Linked DNA regions of Macaca mulatta. The protein of the gene in region 4 interacts with the protein of the main gene of each other region in a pairwise test. Links are inferred from orthologs where the notes say so. Each region holds a gene or a part of one and is shown on either strand. Other genes may lie near its edges. The genes, in order: MPHOSPH6, STX18, FUS, NUPR1, KNSTRN, PSMD4 and RANBP1.

Region 1 (4,300 bases), about 49 Mb from region 4:
TTACTCTAGGGGTCACAACACTGTTTCCTCTATTTCACGGCAGTCACCACTTACTTATGTCCAGAATATCAGCTTCAGGAAAGATGAGGATAGGTGTTTTTACACGCTATTATACCCCGGCATCTCACACACAGTCACAAGTGAATAAGATTCCGTAGCCACTTAGTACATTACAATGATTTTATTTACTCCTGGGAAAACCTCAAGGGCTTTTAACATCCAAATCGGTGTTTGAATTTCAGCTCTAACATGGATTAGCTGTGTGAATTCCACCAAGTCCCTTACCCGCTCTGTGTCTCAGAATTCCTAACAACACGATGACAATACCTTCTTTCCGGTTCTTAGGGAGATTAAGCGAACTAATTACCCATAAGGTGACCAGGTCAAGAATCTGACATAAAATCTATGCTATCAGCTGAAATGCTATTAGCTTGAGGGTGTTCCAAAGCGTCGGACCTGGGAATGATTTTTGAAAACGTGTTTAGTTGGTACCCAGAGCATTAAACACCAGGGTATGAATGCCACTCTATTTTCAGTGGTTTTTAAAATTCTTTTTTGTTTTGTTTTTGAAACAAAGGCTTGCTCTATAGCCCAAGGTGGTGTCCAGTGGTGGGATCTCAGCTCACTGCAGCCTCGACCTCCCGGGTTCCAGTGATTCTCCAGCCTCAGCCTCCCAAGTAATGGAGACCACAGGTCCGTGCCACCACACCCACCTATTTTTTTTTTTTTTTGGTAGAGATAGGGTCTCACTATGTTGCCCAGGCTGGTCTTTTCAATTCTTTAGATCAAAACCAAGCCTTCTTCTCATTCAGGTGTCTTTGGCACCCATCCCTGCCTCCATCCCTTGCAGTTTCTTCAGATTCTTCTGTTTAGCAGGGATCACTCGGCCAGACACGCACCGGCAGCAGCCCGGGGATGAAGCCAGCCCGCCTGGGGTGGCCCCCGCCACGCTCCCCGGGACTCAGGGCTGCTGTAAGGAAAGCAGCAACTCGTAGGGTCCTGGTGAAGAGCAAACGACCTGGCCCCTGCACAGGGACCCAGAACACAGGAAGCCCGCCATCCACGTTAGGAAAACAATACACGTGGGTAACCAGACCCAGGCGGGTGGCACGCGTGACGCAAACCTGTGAGGCTGGCGAGGACTACTGAGTCTGAAGGGAGTCTCTGAGGAAGGGAGTCCCTGAGCGAGGATGGGTCCCCGAGGGGGCCAGGCCGACGTCCCGGGAAGGCGGCCCCCGGCTCGGGGAAGCCAGGCTCTGGGTCCTCCTCTGACTTTGGCCTTTTTGGGATCTGCCGCGCTCATCCCCGCGCCACCGCGCCGCGCGCTTACCCCAGCCTCTCAGTCACCAGAGCGCCCGCTGAGTGGCCGCGCCGGCGCGCGACACGCAGCGGCGGGGCCGCGGGGCGGAGCGGGGCGGTGCGCTTTACGAGAGCGACGCAGCTGCGCACGCGGCTCCGCGCATGTGCAGTGAGGCTCGCGGCCGGAGTGCGGCGCTGGGCGGAAGCCACCATGGCGGCCGAGCGGAAGACAAAGTTGTCCAAGAATCTGCTGCGCATGAAGGTGCGGGGACACTGAGAGAGCCATGCCGGGCGATAGGGGCACCCGATCGTTCCGACCTGGCCAGGGCCGAGGCGGCGGGCGAACGAGGGACACCAGAGGGGCCTCAGAGGGCTTCCAGCTCTCGTGCTCATTCATTCACTTAGCGCCTGCTCTGCACTGTTTACTGGGAACCGGGTTACGAATTAGGCCGACTCTCAGGAGGCCCACGGGTGGATGGGAGCTCGCATACACAGGAGCAAGCAGTCAGGGTACAGCTTACCAAGTGCAGTGAGGGTAGAAGCGCCGGAGCCCTGGGAACTCACCCAGCTTCTCGCGGGGTAGTGGTCCCTTTAGGTTCCTGGGAGGGTGGGAGGCACAGCGTCCTAAACTAGGAGAAACCTGAGTTCAGAAGTCCACGAGGCAAGAAAGAAAAAGAAAACCATGGAGATTTCCAAGAATGAGAGGTAATTCAGTATGTCTGGAAGGCAAGTACTAAGAAATGGGGTTGCAGAGTAGGCAGTGGTCACAACGTGCAGGAAATTTGAGGCCAGATTAAGGATATTTTCCTTTATTTTGTGAGCAATGGAAAGCTATTGACACGGGGAACAGTATAAAAAAATAGCAACTATTTATAGTACTAGACAATGTTTTAAGGGGTTTGCGTATATTAACCTGTGCAATTCACATAATGACACTTTGAGGTGACTACAGGCAATAACTCTCTTTTTACAGTTAAGGCAACTGAAACAGAAATAAGTAACTTACTCAAAGTCGCACAGCTAATAAGTAGTGTAGACAGGACGGGAACTCAGGCAGTCTTGCTCCAGAACCCTGGCTCTGTGTTACTTACTCTGTGATGCCTGTCACTGAGCACTACTTATAGAGGGTAGCAAACTGTTACATGTCATGTTTAAAGAGGTCGAATTTCCAAAAGAAGGAAGGAAGCGTTCATAATGTTTTGAAAGATTGGAGAGAGAGGCCATTCGCAGTGGTTCATGCCTGTAATCTCAGCACTTTGAGAGGCTGAGGTAGACAAATCGCTTAAGCCCAGGTGTTTTAAGACCAGCCTGGGCAACATGGTGAAACCTCATCTCTACAAAAGATACAAAATATTCGTTGGGCCTTGTGGCACGCACCTGTAGTCCCAGCTATTTGGGAGGCTGAAGTGGGAGGATCACTTGAGCCTGGGAGATCGAGGCTGCAGAGAGCTGAGATGGTGCCACTGCACTCCAGCCTGGGTGACAGAGGGAGACCCTGTCTCAAAAAAAAAAGAGAGTAAACATTACATGGGCAAGATTTGAATGGAGTTGAGCTAGGATGGAATTAGGAATGAATGGGTGAATGAGGATGCAGGACAAATTACATCTAACTTAGAGTTTGTCAAGCACTTTCATGCATATTAGGAAAATTTGAATCTTTACTGAACAGAGTTTGCTTTTGATTTTATGATTTGTAATAACATTAATTTCAGAGAAGTGGAGTGAACTGGCCAAGCAGATATTGAAAAGATTTTAGCAGTTGTTTTAGCTCTTGGAATAAGCCAGATGATGTACTGGGTGACTCAGGCTCAAACTAAATATCTGAGTTGCAACTAAGAAGGAAGAAATTAACTTAAAACAAGTGTCCACTCCCACCAAATGGGGAGACGCAACTGGACATTGGAAGCAAAGGAGAAGGAAAAAGATCACCCAGATTCTGTATTTGGTTTAGCAGTTTTGGTCATTGATGAGAAAAAACTTACTGGCAAGATAGCAGGAGACACTATCTATACTGATAGAAAAGAGTATACTGTGAGAAGGCATGGAACAGCTGCACTTAGGGTGCCTTAACCAGAGCTAAGTCCTATATAACATGGGTCCCCAACCACTAGGCCACGGAGCAGCACCAGTCCATGACCTGTTAGGAACGGGCTGCTCAACAGGAGGCGAGCAGCAGGCAGCAAGCGAGTGAAGCTTCATCTATATTTACAGCTGCTCCCCATAGCTTGCATTACCACCTGAGCTCCGCCTCCTGCCAGATCAGTGGCAGAATCCTAGATTCTCCTAGGATCAAAAACCCTACCGTGAACTGCACCTATGAAGGATCTACCTTGAGCTCTACTTATGAGAATCTAATACCTGATGATCTGTCGTTGTCTCCCATCACACACAGATGAGACTGTCTAGTTTCAGGAAAACAAGCTCAGGGCTTCCACTGATTCTACATTATGGTGAGTTGTATAATTATTTCGTTACATATTATAATAATAGAAACAAAGTGCGCAATAAATGTAATGCACTTGAATCATCCCTAAACCATCTACCCCTCCCCTCTCCACCACCCATGGAAAAATTGTCTTCCAGGAAACCCATCCCTGGGGACCACTTTTTAGGGCAAGTATGAGAGGGTTGAGGATTTAATCCTGACTCACTTGAAGGCCTTTGACTTGGTCAGCCATTGCAGGATGATCCCGATGGGAAGCAGAAAAAGAAAGATGTGGATGGAAGGTCTTCCAGTATGGAATGGTTGTAGAAAGGGTGCTTATTTGTGATTTTAGTACTGTTAGACTTTTAGAACAGGGCTTGGCAAGCTTTCTGTAAAAGACCATATAATAAATATTTTGGGCTTATGAGCCAGACAGTCTCTGTTACAACTACTCAGCTCTGCCAGTGTTGTTTGGGACAGGATGACCATGGCTGTATCAACAACAACGGACATCTAGCCTGAGGACCATATTGTGCTGTTGCCTGCTGTGAGTCCCCACTGGTTTTGGAGTGTGTT
Region 2 (3,500 bases), on a different chromosome or scaffold from region 4:
GGAGGAGGGGATGCTTATCAGGTGATTGGGAGTGAGGACTCTGTGCTCATCTCACCCCTTTCTTTTTTAGAAGGGCCTGTCCTCAGGATGGATGTATTCCCTGTTTGTTTGTGCCTGAAGTTTCCTAGAGAAGGCTTTGGGACAGCATGCCTACCCGTCTTGAGGTGGGGGAAAAAATTGGTTCAGGAGGAACTTACTAGACAGCACAATCGTAGCTGTGTATCAAGCACATTCTCCAACTCATTCATTTGTTCAGTTCATTCAAAAGTATTTGATTACTGATTTATTAATTGATCAGCCTACTAAAAATGCTAGGCATTGCTCTTGATGATGGGGATACAGCAGTGAACAAACAGAAGTCCTTGCGTTTGTGGAACTTACATTTTTACAAGGGGGAGAGACAGGCAAGAAAAGAAATGATTACGCAAAATATATGGAATGTTAGAGTGGGATAAGTATCTTTGTGGGGAAGGAAGAAGGGAAGTGGGATAGAAGATGTCAGGGAAGGGACAGTTTGTAAAGAAGGATTAGGGAAGGCCTCATTCAGAGGGCAACGTGGAGTAAACACCTAAAAGAAGTAAGGGATCCATTGATGCAGCTATCTGGGGAAAGAACATTCCAGAGGAGGAGACAACCAACACATGGAAAGGTCCTGAGGTGGGAGTGTGCCTGAAATGTTTCGGGAACACCCTCCACCCTCTGATTCGGTCATTGTGTGGTGTGAGACCCCTCAGTAGCTGCCCCATTGCTCTCAAAGCAGAGCCTACATTCTTCATAGCCCAGCTTATGCTGCAGCCCTCACTCCACGCTCCTTCTCTCTCTCCCTTTCCCCATCTGGCTTACGTCAGTTGGGTCTATTCCGGAGGGTTTTCTACCACACACCCTTCATATGTGTTAGTTCTACTATCTATCTATCTAGATGGTTCTCTCACCTTTTCACCTGGCCTGTTCCTTCTCATCCTTCAAGTCTCAGCTTAAATGTCACTTGATGAGGGAGGCCTTTTCTTCTCTTCCCATCCCACTCAGACTATATTATGTTATCATTTGCTGCTGCCCTTTCCTTTGCTGTCTTTTTTTAGCCATACCATGTCTGAATATGGGAGGATGACAGACACAGAACGAGACCAGATAGACCAGGATGCCCAGATATTCATGAGGACCTGTTCAGAAGCAATTCAACAACTACGAACAGAAGGTAAAGTGCTCTGAAAGATGCAAACGTGCAACCATGAATATAGCAGGTAGTTAAACAGAATTCATATGGTGTGGCCGGTTAAAATTCTCTCTTCTTATGTTGATTTAGGTTTCAAAACATTAAAATCTTTTCTTTCTTATCAGTGTTTTAACCAAAGCTGTTAAAAGTACTGAAAAGGCTGCATCTTTCAAGTTAAACCAATGGGAGCAGGGAGATGGAAAGGACCTCTCCAAACAGAACCAAAACTTTACCTAGGGGCCAGGGACAGTGAAGACAAATCGTGTGCGTGTGTGTGCGCGCGCACGCACGTGCACGCCACGTGCGCGTCTGTTCTGTGTGGCAAATTGTATGTGTGTGGGTGTGTATGTGTGTATGCTTATGTGTGCCTCTGTTCTGTGTGGCATTTAGTGGGATAGGGGTTGACAGCAGCCCGGGGTACTTAAGCTCTCTACTTGTAATATTCAAGTAAACTTTCCTATCAAACCTTCAAGGTTAGGAAGGCTCTGGATCCAGGACTGCCTAGGTGGTACCCCAACTCCACCCGTCCGAGTCATATAGCCCTCTGCAAGTCACTTAGTCTCCCTGGGCCTTGTTTTTTGTCTATGAAATGCAGACAATTAGGAGATGTATCTCTAGGGTTGTTATGAGAATTAAGTTAAATTCTTACAGCATGCTTAGAACCATATCTGGCACTAGGGTGCTTATTATCTCACTTTCATTGATGTTTAATTCTCACTGAGACAATGAGATGGCTTCCCAAGTCACGCCTCTTTCTTGATTCTTTTTTAATTTGCTTAGGCAGATACAGAGTACATTAAATAGTAAGTAGAGTTCAAAGCTGCCAGATGCTGTTGTGCTCACAACACAGACCTCTGTTTGGGAGGTTTTTATTAGAATGCTGATGGACCACTTGGAGACTCTGATGGAAGCAATAGGCATTCTTGCCAGAAAAATGTACATACACAAAATTCTATATGCAATTTCACAGAGCTCCTGAGTCCCCCACATGAATCTTGGGTTAGGCAGCCCTATAGTAAAGACAGAAATCATGCCCTCTACCCTTAAGGGCATATATATTCATTGAGAGACCTAAAAAATACACAGGAATATTAACAAAACCTACATTTACATATGAAACCATCTAACCTTGGGCTATTTATTGCCTCTGAACCTTAATTTCTTCATGTGTGAAATGAGGAAACTCGGAATTGCTATTTTAGTTACTAGCAGTACATATGTAAAGTGCTAGCAGAGCACCTGCACACAGTAGGCAGTCAATCTCTCAGTCAGTGGTCACTGTCTTACCAAAACCAGTGGCACAGACTTCAGGTCTGGTAAGGCCTTTTAGCACATTTCTGTGTGGTGGATCCCAGGAGAAGGGCATCTGTGTGGCTAGGAGTCATAGAAGGTTTCCTGGAGACGGAAAGTTTGACTCATTGTCTAAGGGACCCTCAGAATGTGAGTGGCCTGGGGGAGAGGATGGGGCACCAAAGGCTGAAAAGCAGCACAGGTTCAGGCAGGGAGGAGTGTGTGATTTCAATTATTTAAACATGTTCCCTGAAGGTCAGCTTGAGCATTGGATGCTGTTAACACAGATGGGGGTCAGCATTCAAGAAGTGGCTGCATCAAATACTATCCTTAAGTGTTCTGATAAACCATAAATTATTTGACTATAGTTTTTCTACAGGTTTAATCTTTCACTCTTGTGAAGCCTAATAAATCTTACTCTTCTAAAAATGTAGTGTCTTGACACAAGACTTGTTTTATAGCTGTGTTTTAAAAAATACTCTCAATAAAGAAAGTGTTGTGAGGAAGCTGATGAATTGCTCTTTAGGATAATTGAATGCGAAGACCTGAACATTGTCCTTTTCTGTTACAGCTCACAAGGAGATACATTCCCAGCAAGTGAAGGAACACAGGACTGCTGTTTTGGATTTCATTGAAGATTACTTAAAAAGTATTTCATTTTCTTTTAAAGGTCAAATGTGGCATTTCACAATAGATGTGATGCAGAATTTAGCTTTGCTAGCTGAAGACTGTAGTGTCTCATTATATTTAATGATGCCTTTGCCTGAGAAGCTGTTTTAAGCAGTCTTTCTTCTGGTATTTTCCCCTGCAACAGGAGTCTGTAAACTTTACTCAGAACAGAGAGCCATCCGAGTTAAAAGAGTGGTGGATAAGAAAAGATTGTAAGTATTGCTTTCATTGGTGTTTCTTAATAATAGTACTACTAATAATAGCAGTTAAAGTTTGTAGAGCACTTACCCTATGCAACTTACCATATTTGAACTTCTTCACAAAATGC
Region 3 (4,105 bases), about 1.6 Mb from region 4:
TTGCTGGGGGGGGCCCAGGACATGGCCCTCATTGTTTCTCTAGAAGGAAAGGTCCAACCCTCAAAAGACCTTCCGGAATCCCGCTGAAAGTTAAGTTGGGAAGGAAAACCTGCATGCGTATGTATCAGGAATTAACGTCTTTTGTCTTGCTTTGTTCAGTAGTTTCAAATTGCCTTCTCCAGGCAAGGCTGATGAAAGTGCAAGTTGCAAGTTAATTTGAATTTTTCTTTCTGCTTTTGCTCTCACAGGAAGTGGAAAGGCAACCAAACACTCTAGCATTCATGCCACCAAAAAGAGGTTTTGCAGTTACAAGACCTGGATTCGAATCACGACTCCTCTTAGCTGCCCTGTAATCAGGCACAATTACTTGGGTCTCTGAGTCTCACTTTTCTTATGTAGAAAACGGAGATATGTTTACCTCCTTCGTAAGACTGATGAGAAGGAAATTATCTGTGCATTTTGAAACCACTTAAGCCTTGTACACGTTTTATTTCTGGGATCGCCACTGGTTCCCTGGTAGGGCTTCAGAAAAATAAAAAGGAGGTCCCTGAGCAAAGGCTGGGGGGCCCTTCATCTGAGGCCAACCCTCTCTTGTCCCAAGGATGGCCTGGACTGCTCCGCCCCGCGGCTCCCCAGGGGCAAAGCCGCGAGGGTCCGGGTGAGAGCCCAGTGCTGGACCAGCTCGGCGCTCAGGGGTCCCGGCCGAAATCCCTGCTGTCTTTCAGGTCAAACGTCATAATTCCCGAACCCCAGAAAGGCCGAAAAGCAAGGCAACCCCGAAAGACGACGAAGTCAACACCAGGGCGCAGGGCCAGTGTGCTGACGACGAGGGAGGCTGGAGCCGCGGGGACAAGGCGCCCCATACAGCGGCAAGAGGGCGGAGGGCAGGAGCTCGCCGTCCTGGGTGAAAGCGGGGCCCAGCGAAGAGGCCCGGCCACAGGAATGTCGGTTCCACCCCGCGACTCCCGGCGGTGACTCCAGTTTCGTCCCCAGCCGCCCGGCCCCGCCCCGCCCCGCCCCCAGCGGGCACTCAGGCCGTACCACTGTGCCTTCATGGGGGTGGAGTTAGATCGTGGGCTAGTCCTGCCGAGGAGAGAGGGGTTCTTCCCCCAAAAATATCATTATGTATAGTATTTGCATGATTCTAGTTAACTCGTTTCCCATCTGCATGCTCGGAACCTCTACCTACGCTAGGAAGGGGGCGGAGCGCTTTCCTGCCTCCCCCTGCTCTTCCGCGTTTGGTGCGCGCCTGCGCGGTGCGTAGGCGGCGGGACCTACTTAAGCTTCGACGCAGGAGGCGGGGCTGCTCAGTCCTCCAGGCGTCGGTGCTCTGCGTTGTTGGAATCTTGTTGCTTGCTTGGCTGTGCGCGCGTGCGCCGACATGGCCTCAAACGGTAGGTAAGGGCGCGAGGCGGCGGCGGCGTACCGGGCCGAGGCCTCCCACCTAGGCTTTTCATTTTCGGTGGGACCGGGGTGGCGATCCTGTGTGGGATTCTTTCGCGCCCCTGTGGCGGGAAACCGCGGAGAGGGGTAACTGGAGGAGGCTGGTGTCGCCATTTTGTTTCGCTCCTCTGGCCCTCGCGCGCGGGGCGGCAAGTCTTCTCTTCGCAGTCCGTTTGCTTGGGGTGGTCGTTGGGAGGGACGCTTCTTAGGGGCTTGAAGCATCAGGTGAGGGTGGAAAATGCCCGGTTTCCGTGGCCTCGCCTCCCCCAACTCCCGGCCCCGCGCTCAGGCCCGCTTTGTCGCAGTGCTGCATCCGGGCACTCGCGGTGCGCACGCGCTCTGCGGGCCCCTCCCCCTTCGCGGTGCGGGTACCCCTTCCCCGCCTCGTGTCGGTTCAGCTTTTTGTCGCGAGACCCTTCGCGGAAGACTTGGCGGCGCGCGTCCGGTGTGAGCCTTGTTCCTCTGGTCTTTCGCGAAGGGGCGGGACAGCTCCATTCCCGCCTCGGTTGCCACGCGGCTGGGGGCGGAGGCTCGGTATCTGGGCCGCGCTCCGGCTTAACGGTTTGGAGGAGGTGGTCGTGGATCCACCAACGGACTCGGTGACCTGGCCCGAGAGTTTTTCCCGCCCCATTTTTTTTTTTTTTTTTGAGTCAAGATCTCCCTCTGTCGCCCAGGCTGGAGTGCAGTGGTGCGATCTCAGCTTGCTGCAATGTCCGCCTCCTGGGTTCAAGTGATTCTCCTGCCTCAGCCTCCTTAGTAGTTGGGATTACAGGCGCCTGCCACCACAGCCCGGCTAATCTTTGTGTTTTTTAGTAAAGACGGGGTTTCACCATGTTGGTCAGGCCCGTCTCGAATTGCTGGCCTCAGGTGATCCGCCCTTCTCGGCCTCCCGAAGTGTCGGGATTACAGGCGTGAGCTTCCGCTCCTGGTCTAAATTTCTTTTTTCTGAGATTGGGACGGAGAATAACAGCCGTCGAGGCCACACCCTCTCCTGGTCCTTTCCCTTTTCCTGCGGGGGAAGCGCCGCGTTTCCTGCGCTGGGAGGATGAGTTGATCTTGTTCGTGTATTTAAAGTGGGGCGTTTCAAAAGGGCTTTCGTTGCTTTTGGTTCGCCCGGGGGAAGGCAGGGTAGATGAGAAAACAGAACCATCTGGAGCCCCACGGCTGGGGACTCGAGTACCTGTTGACTTTGGCCTCTTAAGGCGAGCACTTGGATGATCTCTGTCATTTGGGGTCCAAGGGCTCTTGATTCTCTGGCTTTGCACTAAAAAGCCCACTACTTCTCCGGAATTGGTCAAAGAGTGAAGAATGGCCTTTTTTGAGACATTCTTCTGTGGGTCTGGGCTGAGAGAGTAGAGGCCACAATCTGAACACTGCTCGAATTCAAACCTGTGCTACTTGGTAGCTCTACGACTTTGGGAGCGAGTTAGTCTGTTTTGACTCCTGGCAATAATGGCTTTGTCATAGAGTGGATGAAGCGAATGCGCGATGTTTTAGAGCAATCACTGACATGAATTGGTCTTGCAGAAAGTTGTGGCTGTCCACCAAGACCTTGGTTTTTCCAACGGTTAAGGCTTCTGGGACTCTGTAGAAACTTGCATTTTCTTCACTTTTTCTTTTTTGTAAGAACACTTGGCTGATAGGCCAGTTTGCTACTCTTCTCAACCAGTGTCTCAATGGGGGAATTTTATGCCCTTTATTGAAACGTGATGCTTTTTTTTTTTTTTTTTTTTTTTTTGAGACGGAGTCTCGCTCTGTCGCCCACGCTGGAGTGCAGTGGCGCGATCTGCAACCTCTGTCTCACGGGTTCAAGCGATTCTTCTGCTTCAGCCTCCCAAATAGCTGGGATTACAGGCGTGCGCCACCATACCCGGCTAATTTTTTGTATTTTTATTAGCGATGGGGCTTCATGTTGGTTGGAATTCCTGACCCCAAGTGATCCATCCACCTCGGCCTCCCAAAGTGCTGGGATTATAGGCGTGAGCCACCGCACCTGGCCTGTGTGGTCCTATTTATTCATCAGTGCTTGAGTTAAGGAATTTAGCTTTAATTCAACTGTTTCAGAGTGGCGGCTGAAGATAATATGATTGTATTTTTTTTTTTTTTGCAGATTATACCCAACAAGCAACCCAAAGGTGAGTGCTGTTTTTGGGCTTCCAGAGTTTGTAGAGGGGAAGGGTGGTCAAGCTGTGTTTTCTGATCACGCTGGTTTTCCTTTCATCTAGCTATGGGGCCTACCCCACCCAGCCTGGGCAGGGCTATTCCCAGCAGAGCAGTCAGCCCTACGGACAGCAGAGTTACAGCGGTTACAGCCAGTCCACGGACACTTCAGGCTATGGCCAGAGCAGCTATTCTTCTTACGGCCAGAGCCAGAGCAGTGAGTCTTTCTCAGCAGGTCACCTCTTCCTGCTCTTTCTGAATATTGCTTTTCTTTTTTTTCTTTTTCTTTGGGAGACGGAGTCTCATCCTGTTGCCCAGGCTGGAGTGCAATGGTGCTATCTCAGCTCACTGCAACATCCGCCTCCCGGGTTCAAACAATTCCCCTGCCTCAGCCTCCTGAGTAGCTGGGATTACAGGCACCTGCTACCACGCCCTACTGATTTTTGTATTTTTAGTAGAGATGGGGTTTCACCATGTTCGATAGGCTGGTCTAGAACTCCTG
Region 4 (3,331 bases):
CTGGGACTACAGGCGTGAGCCACTGCGCTTGACCTCATTATGTCTTCTGCCTCAGTATAATCCATATTTTGAAATACATATTTTGAAATACATAATATTTTATAATAATTTGTTTTTGAGACAGGGTCTCTCTCTGTCACCAGGCACTGTGGCAAGTTTCTTGCAAACATTATCTCATTTGATCCTCTCCCCAACTCTAGGAAGAAGATACAATTATTATCATCCTTGTTTTACAGAATTGGAAACCAAGGCACAGAGAGGTAAAGGGACCCACCTAAGGTCACACGGAAAGTGGTGGGTCAGGGGATTGAACCGAGGGCATCTGGCTCCAGACCCTGAACTCTCCAACCCTCTGCCGCCCTCCTCCTAGGTGAGGGAGATTACATTACTGGGGACCCTGTTTCAGGATATGAAGGGGTTTTCCAAGATGTTTCTCATAGAAAAAAAAAAAAAGGGTGTGGCTAATGCCCATAATCCCAGCACTTTGGGAGGCTGAGGCAGGCAGATCACTTGAGATCAGGAGTTCGAGACCAGCCTGGCCAACATGGTGAAACCCCATCTCTACTAAAAATACAAAAATTAGCCAGGCGTGGTGGCAGGGGCCTATAATCCCAGCTACTGGGGAGGCTGAGCCAGGAGAATTGCTTAAACCCAGGAGGAGGAGATTGCAGTGAGCCGAGATCATACCACTGCACTCCAGACAGGCGACAGAGACTCCATCTCAAAAAAAAAAAAAAGAAAAAAACAAGATGTTGAGTGTGACTGGGTGGAAGCCGCTGACTTGTCCCTGGCACAAGTGTGCTGATATCCCCTCCCCCTCCTTCCTCACATCCTGCATCTCAGCGAGAATTGGCGTGCTGGGGTTAGCTATGTGGCCATCACCCCAGGCCCAGGTGAAGCCCTCGATCAGGTGAGGCCATGATCCCAAGGAGTGTTTAAGCTCAGATCCTGCCTCTTCCCTGCTTTCTGCCGAGAAGCGGGACCTCCTCTGTGGAAAATATCCAGCTGGGCGAGCCTGGGAGGCAGGAGGTGAGTGGGGCCGGACTCAGGGACCAACTCTTCCCGTCTCATGACTGTGTTTACTGGGCTGGATTTTGAGAAGGGGCCAGATTGCATCAGACAGGGCCTGATGGGCTGGAGCCAGACTGTGGTCTGAGGAGGAGACACAGCCTTATAAGCTGAGGGAGTGGACTGGGAGTGGAGAGGCACGGGGCCAGGAAAGCAGAGAAAGACAAAGCGTTAGGAGAAGAAGACAGGCAGGGAGGACAAGCCGGGCACGATGGCCACCTTCCCACCAGCAACCAGCGCCCCCCAGCAGCCCCGAGGCCCAGAGGACGAGGACCCCAGCCTGGATGAATCTGACCTCTACAGCCTGGCCCATTCCTACCTGGGTAAGGCCCACTCGGCCATCTCCACGGTCCTTCCTCCTCTCCCGAAATCAGGACCCCTCCATAGACTTCCCACCCTCTCCTTTCCTCTCCTCTCCTTTCCTTTCCTCTTCGTTTCTTTCTTTCTTTCTTTTTTTTTTTTTTTTTTGAGAGAGTCACTCTGTCACCCAGGCTGGAGTGCAGCTGTGTGATCACAACTCACCGCAGCCCCAAACTCCTGGGCTCGAGTGATCCTCCTGCTTCAGTCTCCCGAGTAGCTGGAACTTCAGGTGTGCACCACCTGTAGTGGTGAGGTGGGGTCTCACTATGTTGCCCAGGCTGATGTCAAATTCCTGGGCTCAAGCAGTTCTCCTGTCTTGGCCTCCTAAAGCACTGAGATTACAGGAGTGAGCCACCCTGCCCAGCCCACTCACCGTTTTCTAGCCAACGTGTTCCTTGGACCCTCACGTCACCCCTGTCTAGTCCCTTATCCCAAGAGTGCTGTGTTACTCAGCCTGGGACCTCACACACATCTGGGGTCCCACATTCCACAGAGGGGAAGCAGCAGAATTCCCCCTGCTCTTCCCATCCCCGCAACTCCAACCCCCTGCCTCTCCTCTGACAGGGCGTCTCATCGTGCCTTTGCCCACTTCACCTCTGCCTCCTGCCTTGGTTACAGGAGGTGGAGGCCGGAAAGGTCGCACCAAGAGAGAAGCTGCTGCCAACACCAACCGCCCCAGCCCTGGCGGGCACGAGAGGAAACTGGTGACCAAGCTGCAGAATTCAGAGAGGAAGAAGCGAGGGGCACGACGCTGAGACAGAGCTGGAGGTAAGGAGTCGGGGGGCCCAGAGAGCTCAAGGTGGCGCCTCTGCCATGAAGGACAGCCGGAAGGTGCGCGGTTGGGTGGGGAGGAGGGATCAGACAACTGTTATCTCAATGCAGAATAAAATGAGACACACGTTTGGCTGTTTTCTAGCGGCCAGAGCAAAGGGGAACACAGAACCTTTCCAATTGGAGGGAAATTTGACTTACAGAGACAGAAACTGAGGCTGGAGAGGGTGGGTCCTTCCCTGTAGTCACAAATCAAGTAAGTGGGAGAGGCAGAATTAGAACCCAGATCTCTGTCCCTTTCATCACCTGCTTTTCCTCGCCCCCTAGATGAGGCCGGACCATGGACACTACACCCAGCAATGGAGACAGGACTGCGGAGGAAGGAAGAACCAAGACAGGATCCAGGCCAGCTTGCCACACCCCCCACCCCTGGGACTTATCCCCGCTGACTGAGTCTCTGAGGGGCTACCAGGAAAGCACCTCCAACCCCAGCAAAAGTGCAAGATGGGGAGTGAGAGGAAGGGAATGGAGAGGCAGAGCCAGGAAGATACCCCCAGAAAAGAAAGCTACAGAAGAAGCTGGGGCTCCTCTAGGGCAGCAGCACCAATAAATAGACGCGCACGGCAGCCACAGCTTGGGTGTGTTTTCATCCTTGCTCTTTCTGTGTTTTTGTTCGGGCACGTGTGTGCCTGCCTGTGCCTGCACATGCATGAGCCCGGGAGAGCATCTTTGGTGTGTATTAGTGTTTGGTATATGTATCTGGGGCAGGGAGTATTCCTGCTCTTACAGGGGTCTACGCTGTGAATGTGGCTTTTGGTTCGTTTGTTTTTGCTTGCATATATTTTAGTGCATACATTTTTCTGTGGGCTCCTACGTAGTGGAAAACAATTTCTTCTGCTTTTTTGCGATACTGCCCATGAAACACGGCCCTCCCCAGCGCCTGTTTTTGTTGATTATGTCCTGTTCATAGACGGGAATGCTACTTATGGATGCCATCTAAAAGATGGAGAAAACTGAGATTTAAAATATTAAAGGCCAGGGCCAGGCGCAGTGGCTCATGCCTGTAATCTCAACACTTTGGGAGGCTGAGGCAGGCGGATCACAAGGTCAGGAGTTTGAGACTAGCCTGACC
Region 5 (4,265 bases), on a different chromosome or scaffold from region 4:
TATATATAAATTGAGTCAGGTACAGTGGCTCATGTCTGTTGGGAGGCTGAGGTGGGAGGATCATTTGAGGCCAGGAGTTTAAGACCAGCCTGGGCAACATAGCAGGACCCCATCTCTACAAAAAGTAGCTGGGCCTGGTGGCATGCACCTTTAACCTTTAGTCTTAGCTACTCAGGAGACTAAGGTGGGAGGATCTCCTGAACCCAGGAGTTCAAGGTTGCAGTGAACTATGATTGCACTCCAGCCTGGGCAACAGAGTGAGACCCTGTCTCAAAAAAATAAAATACAGTAAAATAAAATATAAATTGGATGACACTCTCCTGCTATAATGCTTCAGTGACTTTCCATTACTTTTAGATAAAATCTAATCTCTATACCTTAGCCTGTAAAATTTGTCTTTTGACTTCTTATTTCTCCAGTTTTATCTGTACCACTCTCTTCCTATCTTTCTGTGCCTAGGGAAGAACCCATTTCTGCCTTGGGACTTTGCATTTTCCCCTTTCCCCAATGATTAACTCCCTCTCCTCCTTCCTTAATCGAACATCATCTCAGAGAGGTCTTCCCTGAGCCCCCAATATAATCTAAGTTTCCCTGCTTTTCTATCTTATAGGATTTTGTACTTTCTCTTCATTGTGTGTGAGTGTGTGTGTGTGTGTGTGTGTGTGTTTTGGTTTGGTTTTTGAGATCATGCTCTGTCACCCAGGGTGGAGTGCAGTGGTACAATCTCAGCTCACTGCAACCTCTGCCCCCCGGGGGTCACACAATCCCCCTACCTCAGCCTCCAGGGTAGCTGGGACTACAGGAGCATGCCACGACGCCCAGCTAGTTTTTGTATTTTTTGTAGAGATGGGGTTTCACTATGTTGCCCAGGCTGTTCTTGAACTCCTGGACTCAAGCAATCCACCCGCCTCCACCTCCCAAAGTGCTGAAATTACAGCTGTGAGCCACTGCGGCCAGCCTTCTTCACAATTTCACCACAATCCGTAAATATATATTTATTCAGGTGATTATTTGTTCACTGTCTGTTTCCTAAGTCGTAAACTCCAGGAGGGCAGAGCCAAGGTCAATCTTGATATTTGCTCTCCCTCAGTCCCTCCCACCCACTGAGAACACTGTTGGGTAATCAGGAAGTGCTCAATAAATGCTGGATGAAATGAATGAACTAGTGCATTTAATGATGCAAACTACCCTGTTTATTAGGAGTAGCTTTGAATCGCTACTTAAAATCTGGGTAAGTACTATTAAAATTAGGACCTCAGGTAGGTGCCTCAGGTATCTCAGCCCATAGGTCCTTTTCTTCAAGCTTCACCTGCCACTCTCCTCCTGTAATGTGTAGTTTTCATCCAAATAACCTGTGCTCCTGGCAATATCCCTAACAATCCCAAACTAAATAAAGAGGATTGTGACACGGACCCTTAATGTGGCCACGTTTGCGTCTCCATCCCGGAATATGACGCTGGTAGCTCATTAGCTCCATTCAAGCCTACAAATTGCATCACCCTCCTCCTCCGCCCAGACCTGGGGGCTCCAACACCTTTCGCTAGGTCTGCCTCTGGCCTCCGAGCGAACCTTCCGTACAGCATGGCGGCTCCCGAACCCCCGCCAGGGAACAGAATGTTCCGTACAACATGGCTTTCTACGGAGTGCGATTCCCACCCACTTCCGCCCAGCTACCGGAAGTTTCCATTTGAAACCGAGGCGGCCAACTTGGCAGGCGGCGCGACAGTTGCTTCAGGGCATCTTTTGAAAGAGAGCGACAAGGACTGCGGGCAGGACCGGCGGGCTCCTGGGTTCGGCTCTCCCGGGGCGAGGGACTGGGCTGGATGGGAGGAAGGACGGAAAGAGCTGGGAAAGGAGGATTTTCTCTTTTCCAACCCCGAGCCGAGGCCTGTCGGGTCGCGCTATCCCCAAGCCCACCACTCTCGGGCCCAGTAGTCCAGCGCTGGGTAACATTCATCCTGTACCTTCCAGAGTTCAGCCGTGCCGCCTCGTTACGATGACCAGTGTGGTTAAGACAGTGTATAGCCTGCAGCCCGCCTCTGCGCTGAGCGGCGGCCAGCCCGCAGGTGAGTGCCCACGCCGCGCCCGGGGCACTGCGGCCCGGCCGGGGATGGTCCCGGGAGTGTGGAGATCCAATGGGTGGCGTGGGCACTGGGAGGGTGTCCCGCCGGCCCTGAAAACCTGCGAGCGCCCTATAACCAGGGTGTGTAGGTTTATGATGGGAGTTAGGGGAAGGGCCATGTGGTAGGATTTTAGACCTGCTCTGCATTTTTCTGCCCGCGTATGTACTGTATTCATCAGTTAGATTTAAGTTGTTGGTTATTGTACAATGTTATTCCCATTAAGCTAGGAATCCCCTTCTAACCGGTTATCCGTCTTATTTCCAGACTTGGGTCATCTTGAGGGATTGGGTTTGTTTTCAGGGAGGAAAGAGGAGAATCATTTGAGAAGTGGAATGCTTAGGGTTCTTTGTTCACCTTTACATCTGCGCCGTGTTTCTCGAGATAATTATTGAGAATTACCACATTCTCAATACACGTTTGTTGAGTGAAGTGGGAGAGAGGGGTTAGACCTAGGCAAAGTATTTGAGAAACTTGGGCGAAGAGACAGACATGATTAAAAATAGAGTTTTTAATTGCTTTGCCATCTGCTTTGTGTTGCTTTGCTTGTGGTTCAAAGTCATCTCATGGGGTTTGCAGTCGGGAAACTGCCTAATCTAGAGATTATAGTACAGAATAAGCTTCAGACATCAGAAAACTGTTGCGGGAGATTGTGGAGTAGCTATTTATGATCTCTTCCCAGATGATTCCACACAGCTGGTACATAAACCTTGGCAGGATTGAGCTCTGAAGTAAATAGGCTTTTCTTCAAAGGCTTAATGGGTTGTTTGTTGTCTTGTGTAGCCACAGAACACCTGAATGGTAATCCTGGCACCAGCGGGGACTAGGAGTTGCTGGAAGAACTGGAGCCAGGTCTCAGCTGCTTGCTGTGTCTTTCCCTTAGATGCAGTGCCCTCAGTCAGTGGGCAGTGACTAGCTCTCTCAGCCAAGCTGCGAGTGTTCATCTCTTGGGTTTACATCTCTGTCCCAGCTTTATGATCATATGTAACTGGAACAGTTTCAAATTTTTAGGCTGCCTCCCAGGTTTTTTGTTTTGATTTTGAGCATGGGCTGGATAAGTAATTTATGCACATGTAAAAAAAAAAGTTGGAAAACCATATACAATGATAAACAAGTTTCCTTCCCTTCCTTGACACCAGCCATCCAGTTCCCCTCCCAGTGTCTCCCATTTTTAGGAGACAGCTTTGTGAAATCCTACTAAGTTTTTCCTACATTGCAATCCTTAGGTTTTAGCAAATACGAATTATTGGAACCAATTCTAGTCAATGAAGAGTGTTAATTTTGATCAATCGACTGTTAATTCCATTTTACATGGAGTAGATTTGTTGTTTATAACTTGCTAATACTTGAGAGAGGAGATGATATTTCTCCAAGGTTACTTTTTACTTCAGACAGACACCTCAAAAAGAACCCTTTTAATACCTCATTTGTACCGCATTTCTTCAATTTGATTTGATTGTAATGGCTCTTAAGTTAGGTCAAGCTTAAAGGGGCCATTTTACAGTGAACAAAGTGAGAATGAGTCCAGAAAAGCCTGCGTGTGAGGGTGGGGGTGCTTTTAACTCCAGATAAGTTACTTGAATTTGCTGTAGAACATGAATGATGGACTGTGTGGTTGGGGAGCTGGCACAAGGATGAAGGAAAATTCTCACCTTTGGGGAAGAAGAGTGTTATGGCAGGGCCATTTCTCTGGTTATCTAGCAAGAAGATCAGATTAGAATGCCTAATAGCGAAACTCTAAACTTAACGAAGGGTAAACGAAAGAGCTGGTGGTAGAGGCAGTCAGCATGGAAGAGGAAGGGACCAGACAGGTGGTTTAGAGATGGTCTGTGAAACAACCTATGCAACTGTGAAGTGTTTGATTTATTCAACAAGCAGTTATTGAACCCCTGTTCATATGCCAAATATTCTTCTAGGTGATGGGGACACAAAGATGTCTTAGAGTGGTTAGGAAGATATTCTGGGAAAAAGAACGAAGTAACAATTTAAAAAAACTCAGAGCAGCTCAGTCATGCCTTAGGAGAGTGTGCAGCGTGCTTGGAGTTGCTTAACGAGATGGTACAAGGATTCAGCCGTGTTTTACTTCCACCCTGCTCTCTGCTGGTGTCCATCTCCATGTTCACTTTTACAGCCTCCACCTTTCAG
Region 6 (4,188 bases), on a different chromosome or scaffold from region 4:
ACGCTGGGATTATAAAACCTAAGCCATTGCATCAGGCCTTAAATGTAATTTTTGATTAACAAACCAAAATGGTTTAGTGGTTTGTTCTTTGGGAGATTAGTTAATATAATTGAGTTGTCAAATCTTTTCTGGGCTCTCTACTGGGCTTAGGGAATTGTAAAGATTAAGACACATTGCTGGCCAGGTGTGGTGGCTCACGCCTGTAATCCCAGCACTTTGGGAAGCTGAGGCGGGTGGATCAACTGACGTCAAGAGATCGAAACCAGCCTGGCCAACATGGTGAAACCCTGTCTCTACTAAAAATACAAAATTAGCCGGTCATGGTGTCACGCCCCTGTAGTCCCAGCTACCTGGGAGGCTGAGGCGGGAGAATCGCTGGAACCCAGGAGGCAGAGGTTGCAGTGAGCCTAGATCGAGACACTGCACTCTAGCCTGGGTGACAGAGTGAGACTCCTTCATCTCAAAAAAAAAAAAAAGACACGTTGCCTACCCTTAGTTAAATGGGGGAGGAGATAAATATACAAATAAATTCAATTCAAAGGTATAAGGGCTTGTTGAATTAAAATTCTACAGGGAACTGAAGGCTGTAGAAAGTCATTAGTGATCTCTACTTTTTTTTTTTTTTTTTGAGACGGAGTCTCACTCTGTCCCCCAGGTTGGAATGCAGTGGCGTGATCTGTGCTCACTGCAATCTCTGCCTCCCGGGTTCAAGCGATTCTCCTTCCTCAGCCTCCAGAGTAGCTGGGATTACAGGCGCCCGCCACTATGCCTGGCTAGTTTTTTTTTTTTTTTTTTTTAAGATGGGGTCTCACTCTGTTGCCCACGCTTGAGTGCAGTGGTGCAATCTCGGCTCATTGCAATCTCCGTCTCCCGGGTTCAAGTAATTCTCCTGCCTCAGCCTCCCGAGTAGCTGGGATTACAGGCGTGCGCCACCATGCCCGGCTAATTTTTTGTATTTTTAGTAGATACAGGGTTTCACCATGCTGGTCAGGCTGGTCTCGAACTCCTGACTTCGTGATCCGCCCGCCTTGGCCTCCCAAAGTGCTAGAATAACAGGCGTGAGCCACCGCGCTCGGCCGATCCCGACACTTTTTTTTAAAATGACGAAGCTGGAACCGACACAGCACTTTCAAAGGTTCCTCCATAGCTCCTCTGAGATCCGGCCAGCGGGAAACCCCAACTGGGAACTGCAATGGCAGGGAAAGTAGAGGCTAGATCCTGTTGTGTTACCGCGATTCCCTTCAACTACCCACAAGAAGCCCATTTGTTTGGCGGCGCCTACAACTCCCAGAACGCAACACGGGGGACGGAGGCGGAAGCTGCTGGCCAAGCCGAGGTCTGTGATTGGTGAAGAGCGATGGGCCAATTGGAGGAGTTGTTGTTAGGCCGTCCTGGAGAACCGGTCGGGAGGGAGGAAGGTGGCAAGATGGTGTTGGAAAGCACTATGGTGTGGTGAGGAGCTACCTCGGGGCAGGAGGGGCACAGCTGGGTCCCGGGCGCGTGTGGCGCCAAGGCAGGGCGGGCCTGGGGTGGGGGCCGGGAGCTCATGGGCGAGAGGCGGCCCTGGGCCCGGAGGTTAGGAGCCCGCTGGAGTCCCTGAGTCATCCCGGGGCCGTGGAGTGGCAGACAGTCCCTGGTTACCCCTCTCACCCCCAGGGGGACGGTCATTGACCGGTCATTCCTGCTGCCTTTCTCTGTTCTAGCGCCGTCTTCTCTAGAGCAGCCCGGGTCTGTCCTTAGCCACAGTTCTGCTTCTCGGACTCATCGTAATAGTTTTCTGCCCTCCTTTCTTCGCAAAATAATGTCTATTAGAAAAATAGATTATTAATCCCTTCCTCTCCCCATTCCCTCGTCTCTAACTTCATTACCTTTCCCTGTGTCATCTTCAAAGGTACCATTTACAGATTGCTTTTTATGTCTCAGTCATTTTGTTTATCTCACTTAAACCTCACAACCACACCTTAAGGTAAATTATCTCTCCGTTTTACGGTTCAGGATACCGAGTCTCAGCGATTTTGAGTGATTTGTCCAAAATCACACAGCTAGTTAAGTGGTGGAGTCAAGATTTAAACCCAGGGCTGTCTGACACAAAGGCTTTATCCGGTGAGGTAGCTGTCTTCGCCAGTCTCAGGCTTGGGCTGAGTACCTATTAGGAGTCACATTAGATGGGGAGGACATAAATTTTTGCAGGATTGCAAGAGTTCCTTCTACCTGTAATCATTGAATGTAATACAGAATAGTTGACGAACACAAATCACCAATTGGGTGAGACAGACACCTATGAGATTTCGTCTTTTTAGTTTTTTGGGGGAGCATAGCGTTGCCAGGTAACATACAGGATGCCCAGTGAAATTTGAATTTCAGATAAACGATGAATAATTTTTTTTTGAGAGGGTCTCGCTCTGTCGCCCGAACTGGAGTGCAGTGGCCCAATCCGGCTCACTGCAGCCTCCGCCTCTTGGGTTCAAGTGATTCTCAATGATTGAACTAATTTACACTTGCACCAACGGTATACCAGTGTTCTCTTTTCTCGCAACCTTGCCAGCTTCTTTTTTGACTTTTTAGGATAGCCATTCTGACTGGTGTTAGGTGGTATCTCATTGTGGTTTTGATTTATTTGCATTTCTCTAATGATCAGTGATACTGAGGTCTTTTTCATATGCTTGTTGGCCGTATAGTATGTCTTCTTTTGAAAAGTGGCCAGGCGCGGTGGCTCAGTTCTGTAATCCCAGCACTTTGGAAGGCCGAAGTGGGTGTATCACCTGAGGTCAGGAGTTCCTGACTAGCCTGGCCAACATGGTGAAACACTGTTTCTACTAAAAATACAAAATTTAGCCAGGCGCGGTGGTGGGCGCCTGCAGTCCCAGCTACTTCGGAGGCTGAGGTGGGAGAATCGTTTGAACCCCAGAGGTGGAGGTTGCAGTGAGCCGAGATGGTGCCACTGCACTCCAGCCTGGGCGACTGAGTGAGACTCCCTCTCAAATAAATACATAAATAAATAAAAATAAAGTATCTGATATCTGTTCATGTCCTTTGCCCACTTTTTTTTTTCTTTTTGAGATGGAGTTTTGCCCTTCTTGCCCAGATTGAGTGCAGTGGTGCCATCTCAGCTCACTGCAACCTCCGCCTCCTGGGTTCAAGTGATTCTCCTGCCTCAGCCTCCTGAGTAACTGGAATTACAGGTGTCCACCACCATGCCCAGCTAATTTTTTGTATTTTTAGTAGAGACGGGATTTCATCATGTTGGCCAGGCTGGTTTCAAACTCGAGCTCAGATGATCCACCCGACTCAGCCTCCCAAACTTCAGGGAATACAGGTGTTGAGCCACCACGCCTGGCTCCTTTGCCCACTTTTTTTTGTTGTTGTTGTTCTTACTGCCCAGGCTGGAGTACAATGGCACAATCTTGGCTCACTGCAACCTTCAGCTCACCGCAACCTCCACCTCCCGGGTTCAAGCGATTCTCCTGCCTTAGCCTCCCGAGTAGCTGGGATTACAGGCATGTGCCACCATACCTAGCTAATTTTGTGTTTTTAGTAGAGACAGGGTTTCTCCATGTTGGTCAGGCTGGTCTCAAACTCCTGACCTCAGGTGATCCACCTGCCTCAGCCTCCCAAAGTGCTAGGATTACAGGTGTGAGCTACTGTGCCCAGCCCATCTTCCAGGATTTTTATAGTTTTGAGTTTTACAGTAAGTCTTTAATCCGTCTTCAGTTAATTTTTGTGTATGGTTTAAGAAAGGGGTCCATCTTCAATCTTCTGCATATGGCTAGCCAGTTATGCCAGCACCAGTTATTGAATAGGGACTCTTTCTCCTCACTGCTTTTGTCAGTTTTGTCCAAGAGCAGATGGTCATAGGTGTGCAGCCTTATTTCTAGACTCTCTATTCTGTCCCATTGGTTTCTGTGCCTGTTTTTGTACCAATACCGTGTGGTTTTGGTTATTGTAGTCCTGTAGTAGTAGTTTGAAGTTGGGTAAAGTTGCCTCCAGCTTTGTTCTTTTAGCTTAGGATTGCCTTGACTTTTCCGGCTCTTTGTTGGTTCCATATGAATTTTCAAATAGTTTTTTCCTAGTTCTTTGAAGAATGTCCTTGGTAGTTTGATAGGAGTAGCAGTGAATCTGTAAATTGCTTTGGGCAGTATGGCTTGTTTGTTTGTTTGTTTGTTTGTTTATTTATAAGACAGAGTCTTG
Region 7 (4,069 bases), on a different chromosome or scaffold from region 4:
GGCGGCCTTTCCAGAGGGCACCATGCAAAACTCGCAGGGCCTTGTCCCTCTCTGCAGCGCTGCGGAATGTCACAAAGGCGCAGGGTGGTTGCCCAAAGAGTTTGGTTTTGTGGGGCTGCAGGCCAAAGCGGCCCAGGAAGCGCCGGACGTCGCTGAAGCTGGCGTGGCGAGGCACGTTCTGCAGCTCCAGTTTGAAGATCTCAGAGGTAAACAAGTCATCCCTGATGTAGCTGTAGAGCCCAGGTTGAGGCCCCGGCCCTGTAGCTGCTCCAGCGCCCTCTTTCTCCACCTCCTCCAGGGCTGCCGGGTCTGCAGGGAGCACCGAGGCTGTAGGGCAGCTCGGGGCACTGCTGCTCTCCTGGCCACAGCTCTCCATGGGCTTTGGGCCCTGTGTGGGGACAGATGGGGTGCTACGGTGAGGACTAGACCCTGGGGCCTGGCCCCCCAGGTTCCCCTATGGCACACCCAAACCTCCGTCGGTGCACTCTGCACTCAACCCTGCCCCTCCCCTCCCCCATTCTACCCTCCCGACCCCATTCCCGTCTCCTTTCCTCCCCCATCGCATCCTCCTCGTCCCCACCTATTCTCTGGCAGGTTTCCTGCCCCACCCCGCCTCCTCCCACCCCATCCCCGTCTCTACCCAGCGTCTCCCCGCACTCTACCTCGTTGTCGAGGTTCTCACTCATCGTTCAGGCGGTTCTCCGCCTAGACCAGGGGTGCCACGGGGGCCGCCTGGTCACCTCGTCCTGGGCCTGTCACAAGGGAAGTGCTCAGAGGGGAAGTGCTCAGAGAGCCAGTGCAACGCCGCGAGGTCGCCGCCAGCCCCGGCTTCGACCCAGATGGGGCGGTACTCGAACCTGCGGTGCTCAGGTCCTGGTCTCAGGCTTCGGGCTGCACCGCCCGCCCGCCAGGGGCCCGCGCCGGCCGCACGCTTCGCCAGCCACTCTTAGTCCGCCAGCGCGTGCCGCGGAGGCCGAGCGTCTCTATGATCCTGACTTCCTGCAACATCATAGCCACGCGCCGGCTCCAACCACTTTAGCCAGCTCTTGGGGCGCGCGTGGCCGGGACGGAAGTGCGCGCAGGGGTCGCCGGGAATGCGCGCTCCTCTGGCTGACGGGCGGGCCGGGCATGCGCCACGGGCGTTTTGGCGGGAAGCGCGGGGCGGGCCGGACAATGAGAGTGTCCGCCGCCTGAGCCAATAAAGCTGTACTGGTTTTGAATCGCGGCGCGTTTCCCGCCGCTGGGGTCAGGGGTCGAGGTTCGGGTCGCGGGGCGGAGGGAAGAGCGGGCGGGCGGGAGGCGCCGGCGCCAGACGCGGAGGGAAGGAGCTACGAGTAGCCGCCCAGAGGCCGCGGAGCCAGCGACGACCGACCCAGCCGAGCCGCCGCCGCCGCCGCGCCCCCATGGCGGCCGCCAAGGTGCGGCCTGGCCCAAGCGGGGACAGGGTGGGCGGGCGGGGCCGGTGGGACCGGGGCCGTTATCAGCGGCCACGTGGGCGGCCCGCGCAGCAGCCACCAACCCCCGCCGGCCTGCAGGTTCGGCCGTCTGCTGGGCCTCGGTGGCGCGGGGTCGGGACGCGTGGGGTTTGGGGGCTCGAGGCCTGCGGAGTTGGGGCTTCTGGGGGTGCAGGCTCTGCAGAGGCCTGGGGGCTGCAGGGCGCCCGCGTGACCTTGGGGTGGGTTGGGGGCGGCCGTCGCCACGCGGGGCGGCCCCAGCCTCCGGGAACTGGTGCGGGCGGCGGGTTTCCTCCGGCTCGGCCCACTTGGGGCTTCCCACTAGTACGGTGCATTTATTCCTTCCGTCGCCCACGCAGCACTTCATTCATTCGGTTCTCACGTGTGGAACCGGCTCTGGCCTCTGTGGCAGAAGCTCGCGTTCCAGCGTGGGGCACAGGTCCTGGACGCGCCGACCCGGGCGGCGGCTTTGTTGGCTGAGGTGTATGGTTGAGTGCGGGCCGCTGCAGAGCCGCAGTGCTGTGGGAAACACAGAAGAGCAGCGAAAAGCTTATGTTTTCTTTTCCAGTTTGAGTCTAGTGGTGAAGTCTTAGGTCTCTTATGGACTTCTGGGTGACCAAGGCACGTGTTCTGGAAGACTCGAACCTAAAATATGATTATTGGTGCTCTCTTATCCTCTAAATTGGGTCAGGATTTCATGACTTTCACCGGTACAATTTATCTAGTTACTAACTTAATTTCTTGAACTGTGAAAAAATTGCTGGCAGAGCTATGAATCCAATGTAAATACTACCAGTCCTGTAGCGACTTTTTTCATTCTAGTAAGCAAGAGCACAACTATTTCCTAATTAGTAAAAGCTGAAATAGTTACATTTTGCTTTAAAGTAACATTTCAAAATCTATTTCGACCCATCATTGTGTCCTTTGATCTTCACACAGCAGGTATCGTCTGCATTTTATGGATGAGGAAGAAACTGATGCTCAAAGAGATGAGGCAGTTACTCCCAGGCCACTCTGCAAGTGCTGGCGGAGTTGTAGGGCCCACCATCAGTCTGTGCACAGATCTGACTGATGTCTGTCAATCTGGGGGAGGGGCCCCAAACTCGGGTGTCTCGCTGTAGGCTCATGCACTGAGTGTATGGAGCTGGGCGTAAATGCAAACCTTTCCTAGCGTGGAAGAGAGGGCCTAATTTCTTGCTTTGGGGTGGAGCCCATCCTTGTAGCTGAAGTCCCTTCACTGTCGGGGGGCAGACCACTGCAGGCACTGGTTGGGCTCTGGCTGTGAGCCGGATCCATAGGCCAGCAGTGTAACCTCTTTGTATTTCCTCAGGACACTCATGAGGACCATGATACTTCCACTGAGAATACAGACGAATCCAACCATGACCCTCAGTTTGAGCCAATAGTTTCTCTTCCTGAGCAAGAAATTAAAACGCTGGAAGAAGATGAAGAGGAACTTTTTAAAATGTAAGTAATCTGATGTCCCAGAAATAGGACCCTTTAAGGTTGAAGTTACAGCTTTTTTGGGTGTTAAGGTCTTGGCCTGACTTTTAATCAGACTGAGGTTCTTTAAAGAAAGGGCCTAAAGTTGCTTGATGACTAATCCCATGTGGAAATTTAACCCATTGCTTTTATGAATCTTCACCAGGTGCCCTTGCTGCCCTGCAGCCAGTTGCATGAAGGGCATCCCATTATTGCTGCTCTGTTCACTGACATGGCGGCCCCACTGCTGTTTCTTGCCACTGGCTTCTGAGGATCCAGGGAGTCCCTTTGGTTGAGCAGGGGATTTTAACTTTTTGCAGCAGAGTTCTTTGGCATTGTGAAGCTTATAAATCCCCCACCCGGTGTTTTTGTTGTTGTTGTTGTTTGAGATGGAGCCTCGCTCTATCGCCTAGGCTGGAGTGCAGTGGCGTGATCTCAGCTCATTGCAAGCTCCGCCTCCCGGGTTCACGCCATTCTCCTGCCTCAGCCTCCCAAGTAGCTGGGACTCCACGCCCGGCTAATTTTTTGTGTTTTTATTAGAGACGGGGTTTCATCTTGTGAGCCAGGATGGTCTCGATCTCCTGACCTTTTGATCTGCCCGCCCCAGCCTCCCAAAGTGCTGGGATTACAGGCGTGAGCCACCTCGCCTGGCCCACCCTTAATACACAACGTAATACTGCAATTACACGTGAAAATAGGTGATGGTTTAGTTATCAAAAACACCTGAAAAGATTCTGTACGTGTGCTTCTTGACACTTTCAGTTAAGAGCTATTTGCAGTGGTGGATACCAGCCTTGTGTCTTGTGACAGCGTCACAGCACTGCAGAGACTGGCCTGTCGCCTACACTCAGGATTGCAACAAACATCATGTTTAGTTACACACCGTAGTGAAATGAGATTGTAGTTTTTCCCTGTTCAAGTTCACGGAACCCCCCACCCTTGAAGTAGCTTTAAGAGTACAGGTTAAGGTTTGGTTGCTCTGGGGTGGGAGAGGGAACCAGAGAGTCATTCCTACTGTGAGTTTCTTCTCTAAGGAAAGGGGCCAGGAGGGATACCTGGGAAAGGAGAGCTGTGTGTCACCCTTTGGTCACAGAGCGTGATGGACATCTCCCTGAAGCCACTGGGTGGCCGTG

Evidence for each region.
Region 1: the proteins of NUPR1 (region 4) and MPHOSPH6 interact in a two-hybrid assay, tested with the Homo sapiens proteins (2 studies listed by BioGRID and IntAct). The link is inferred for Macaca mulatta from reciprocal best matches to the Homo sapiens genes NUPR1 and MPHOSPH6.
Region 2: the proteins of NUPR1 (region 4) and STX18 interact in a two-hybrid assay, tested with the Homo sapiens proteins (2 studies listed by BioGRID and IntAct). The link is inferred for Macaca mulatta from reciprocal best matches to the Homo sapiens genes NUPR1 and STX18.
Region 3: the proteins of NUPR1 (region 4) and FUS interact in a two-hybrid assay, tested with the Homo sapiens proteins (2 studies listed by BioGRID and IntAct). The link is inferred for Macaca mulatta from reciprocal best matches to the Homo sapiens genes NUPR1 and FUS.
Region 5: the proteins of NUPR1 (region 4) and KNSTRN interact in a two-hybrid assay, tested with the Homo sapiens proteins (2 studies listed by BioGRID and IntAct). The link is inferred for Macaca mulatta from reciprocal best matches to the Homo sapiens genes NUPR1 and KNSTRN.
Region 6: the proteins of NUPR1 (region 4) and PSMD4 interact in a two-hybrid assay, tested with the Homo sapiens proteins (2 studies listed by BioGRID and IntAct). The link is inferred for Macaca mulatta from reciprocal best matches to the Homo sapiens genes NUPR1 and PSMD4.
Region 7: the proteins of NUPR1 (region 4) and RANBP1 interact in a two-hybrid assay, tested with the Homo sapiens proteins (2 studies listed by BioGRID and IntAct). The link is inferred for Macaca mulatta from reciprocal best matches to the Homo sapiens genes NUPR1 and RANBP1.

The regions. Positions count from the first base shown.
Region 1 is NC_133425.1:77,533,023-77,537,322, reverse strand, and holds the start of MPHOSPH6 (M-phase phosphoprotein 6), read left to right. Parts: upstream 1-1,500; 5' UTR 1,501-1,510; coding exon 1,511-1,561; intron 1,562-4,300. UniProt on the Homo sapiens protein: RNA-binding protein that associates with the RNA exosome complex. Involved in the 3'-processing of the 7S pre-RNA to the mature 5.8S rRNA and play a role in recruiting the RNA exosome complex to pre-rRNA; this function may include C1D.
Region 2 is NC_133410.1:8,530,425-8,533,924, forward strand, and holds part of STX18 (syntaxin-18), read left to right. Parts: intron 1-1,079; coding exon 1,080-1,195; intron 1,196-3,074; coding exon 3,075-3,152; intron 3,153-3,317; coding exon 3,318-3,384; intron 3,385-3,500. UniProt on the Homo sapiens protein: Syntaxin that may be involved in targeting and fusion of Golgi-derived retrograde transport vesicles with the ER.
Region 3 is NC_133425.1:29,823,030-29,827,134, forward strand, and holds the start of FUS (RNA-binding protein FUS), read left to right. Parts: upstream 1-1,305; 5' UTR 1,306-1,381; coding exon 1,382-1,394; coding exon of another isoform or gene 1,395-1,398; exon of another isoform or gene 1,399-1,784; intron 1,785-3,553; coding exon 3,554-3,578; intron 3,579-3,668; coding exon 3,669-3,838; intron 3,839-4,105. UniProt on the Homo sapiens protein: DNA/RNA-binding protein that plays a role in various cellular processes such as transcription regulation, RNA splicing, RNA transport, DNA repair and damage response. Binds to ssRNA containing the consensus sequence 5'-AGGUAA-3'.
Region 4 is NC_133425.1:28,259,732-28,263,062, reverse strand, and holds NUPR1 (nuclear protein 1), read left to right. Parts: upstream 1-1,199; 5' UTR 1,200-1,279; coding exon 1,280-1,391; intron 1,392-1,992; coding exon of another isoform or gene 1,993-2,046; coding exon 2,047-2,183; 3' UTR 2,184-2,196; intron 2,197-2,526; 3' UTR 2,527-2,831; downstream 2,832-3,331. UniProt on the Homo sapiens protein: Transcription regulator that converts stress signals into a program of gene expression that empowers cells with resistance to the stress induced by a change in their microenvironment.
Region 5 is NC_133412.1:17,693,251-17,697,515, forward strand, and holds the start of KNSTRN (small kinetochore-associated protein), read left to right. Parts: upstream 1-1,465; 5' UTR 1,466-1,581; coding exon 1,582-1,790; intron 1,791-1,971; coding exon 1,972-2,066; intron 2,067-4,265. UniProt on the Homo sapiens protein: Essential component of the mitotic spindle required for faithful chromosome segregation and progression into anaphase.
Region 6 is NC_133406.1:115,828,943-115,833,130, reverse strand, and holds the start of PSMD4 (26S proteasome non-ATPase regulatory subunit 4), read left to right. Parts: upstream 1-1,388; 5' UTR 1,389-1,426; coding exon 1,427-1,452; exon of another isoform or gene 1,453-2,424; intron 2,425-4,188. UniProt on the Homo sapiens protein: Component of the 26S proteasome, a multiprotein complex involved in the ATP-dependent degradation of ubiquitinated proteins.
Region 7 is NC_133415.1:32,563,616-32,567,684, reverse strand, and holds the start of RANBP1 (ran-specific GTPase-activating protein), read left to right. Parts: upstream 1-1,269; 5' UTR 1,270-1,403; coding exon 1,404-1,418; intron 1,419-1,912; exon of another isoform or gene 1,913-2,054; coding exon of another isoform or gene 2,055-2,075; intron 2,076-2,784; coding exon 2,785-2,921; intron 2,922-4,069. Other genes in the region: TRMT2A (tRNA (uracil-5-)-methyltransferase homolog A), read right to left, coding at 1-388, 663-686. UniProt on the Homo sapiens protein: Plays a role in RAN-dependent nucleocytoplasmic transport. Alleviates the TNPO1-dependent inhibition of RAN GTPase activity and mediates the dissociation of RAN from proteins involved in transport into the nucleus.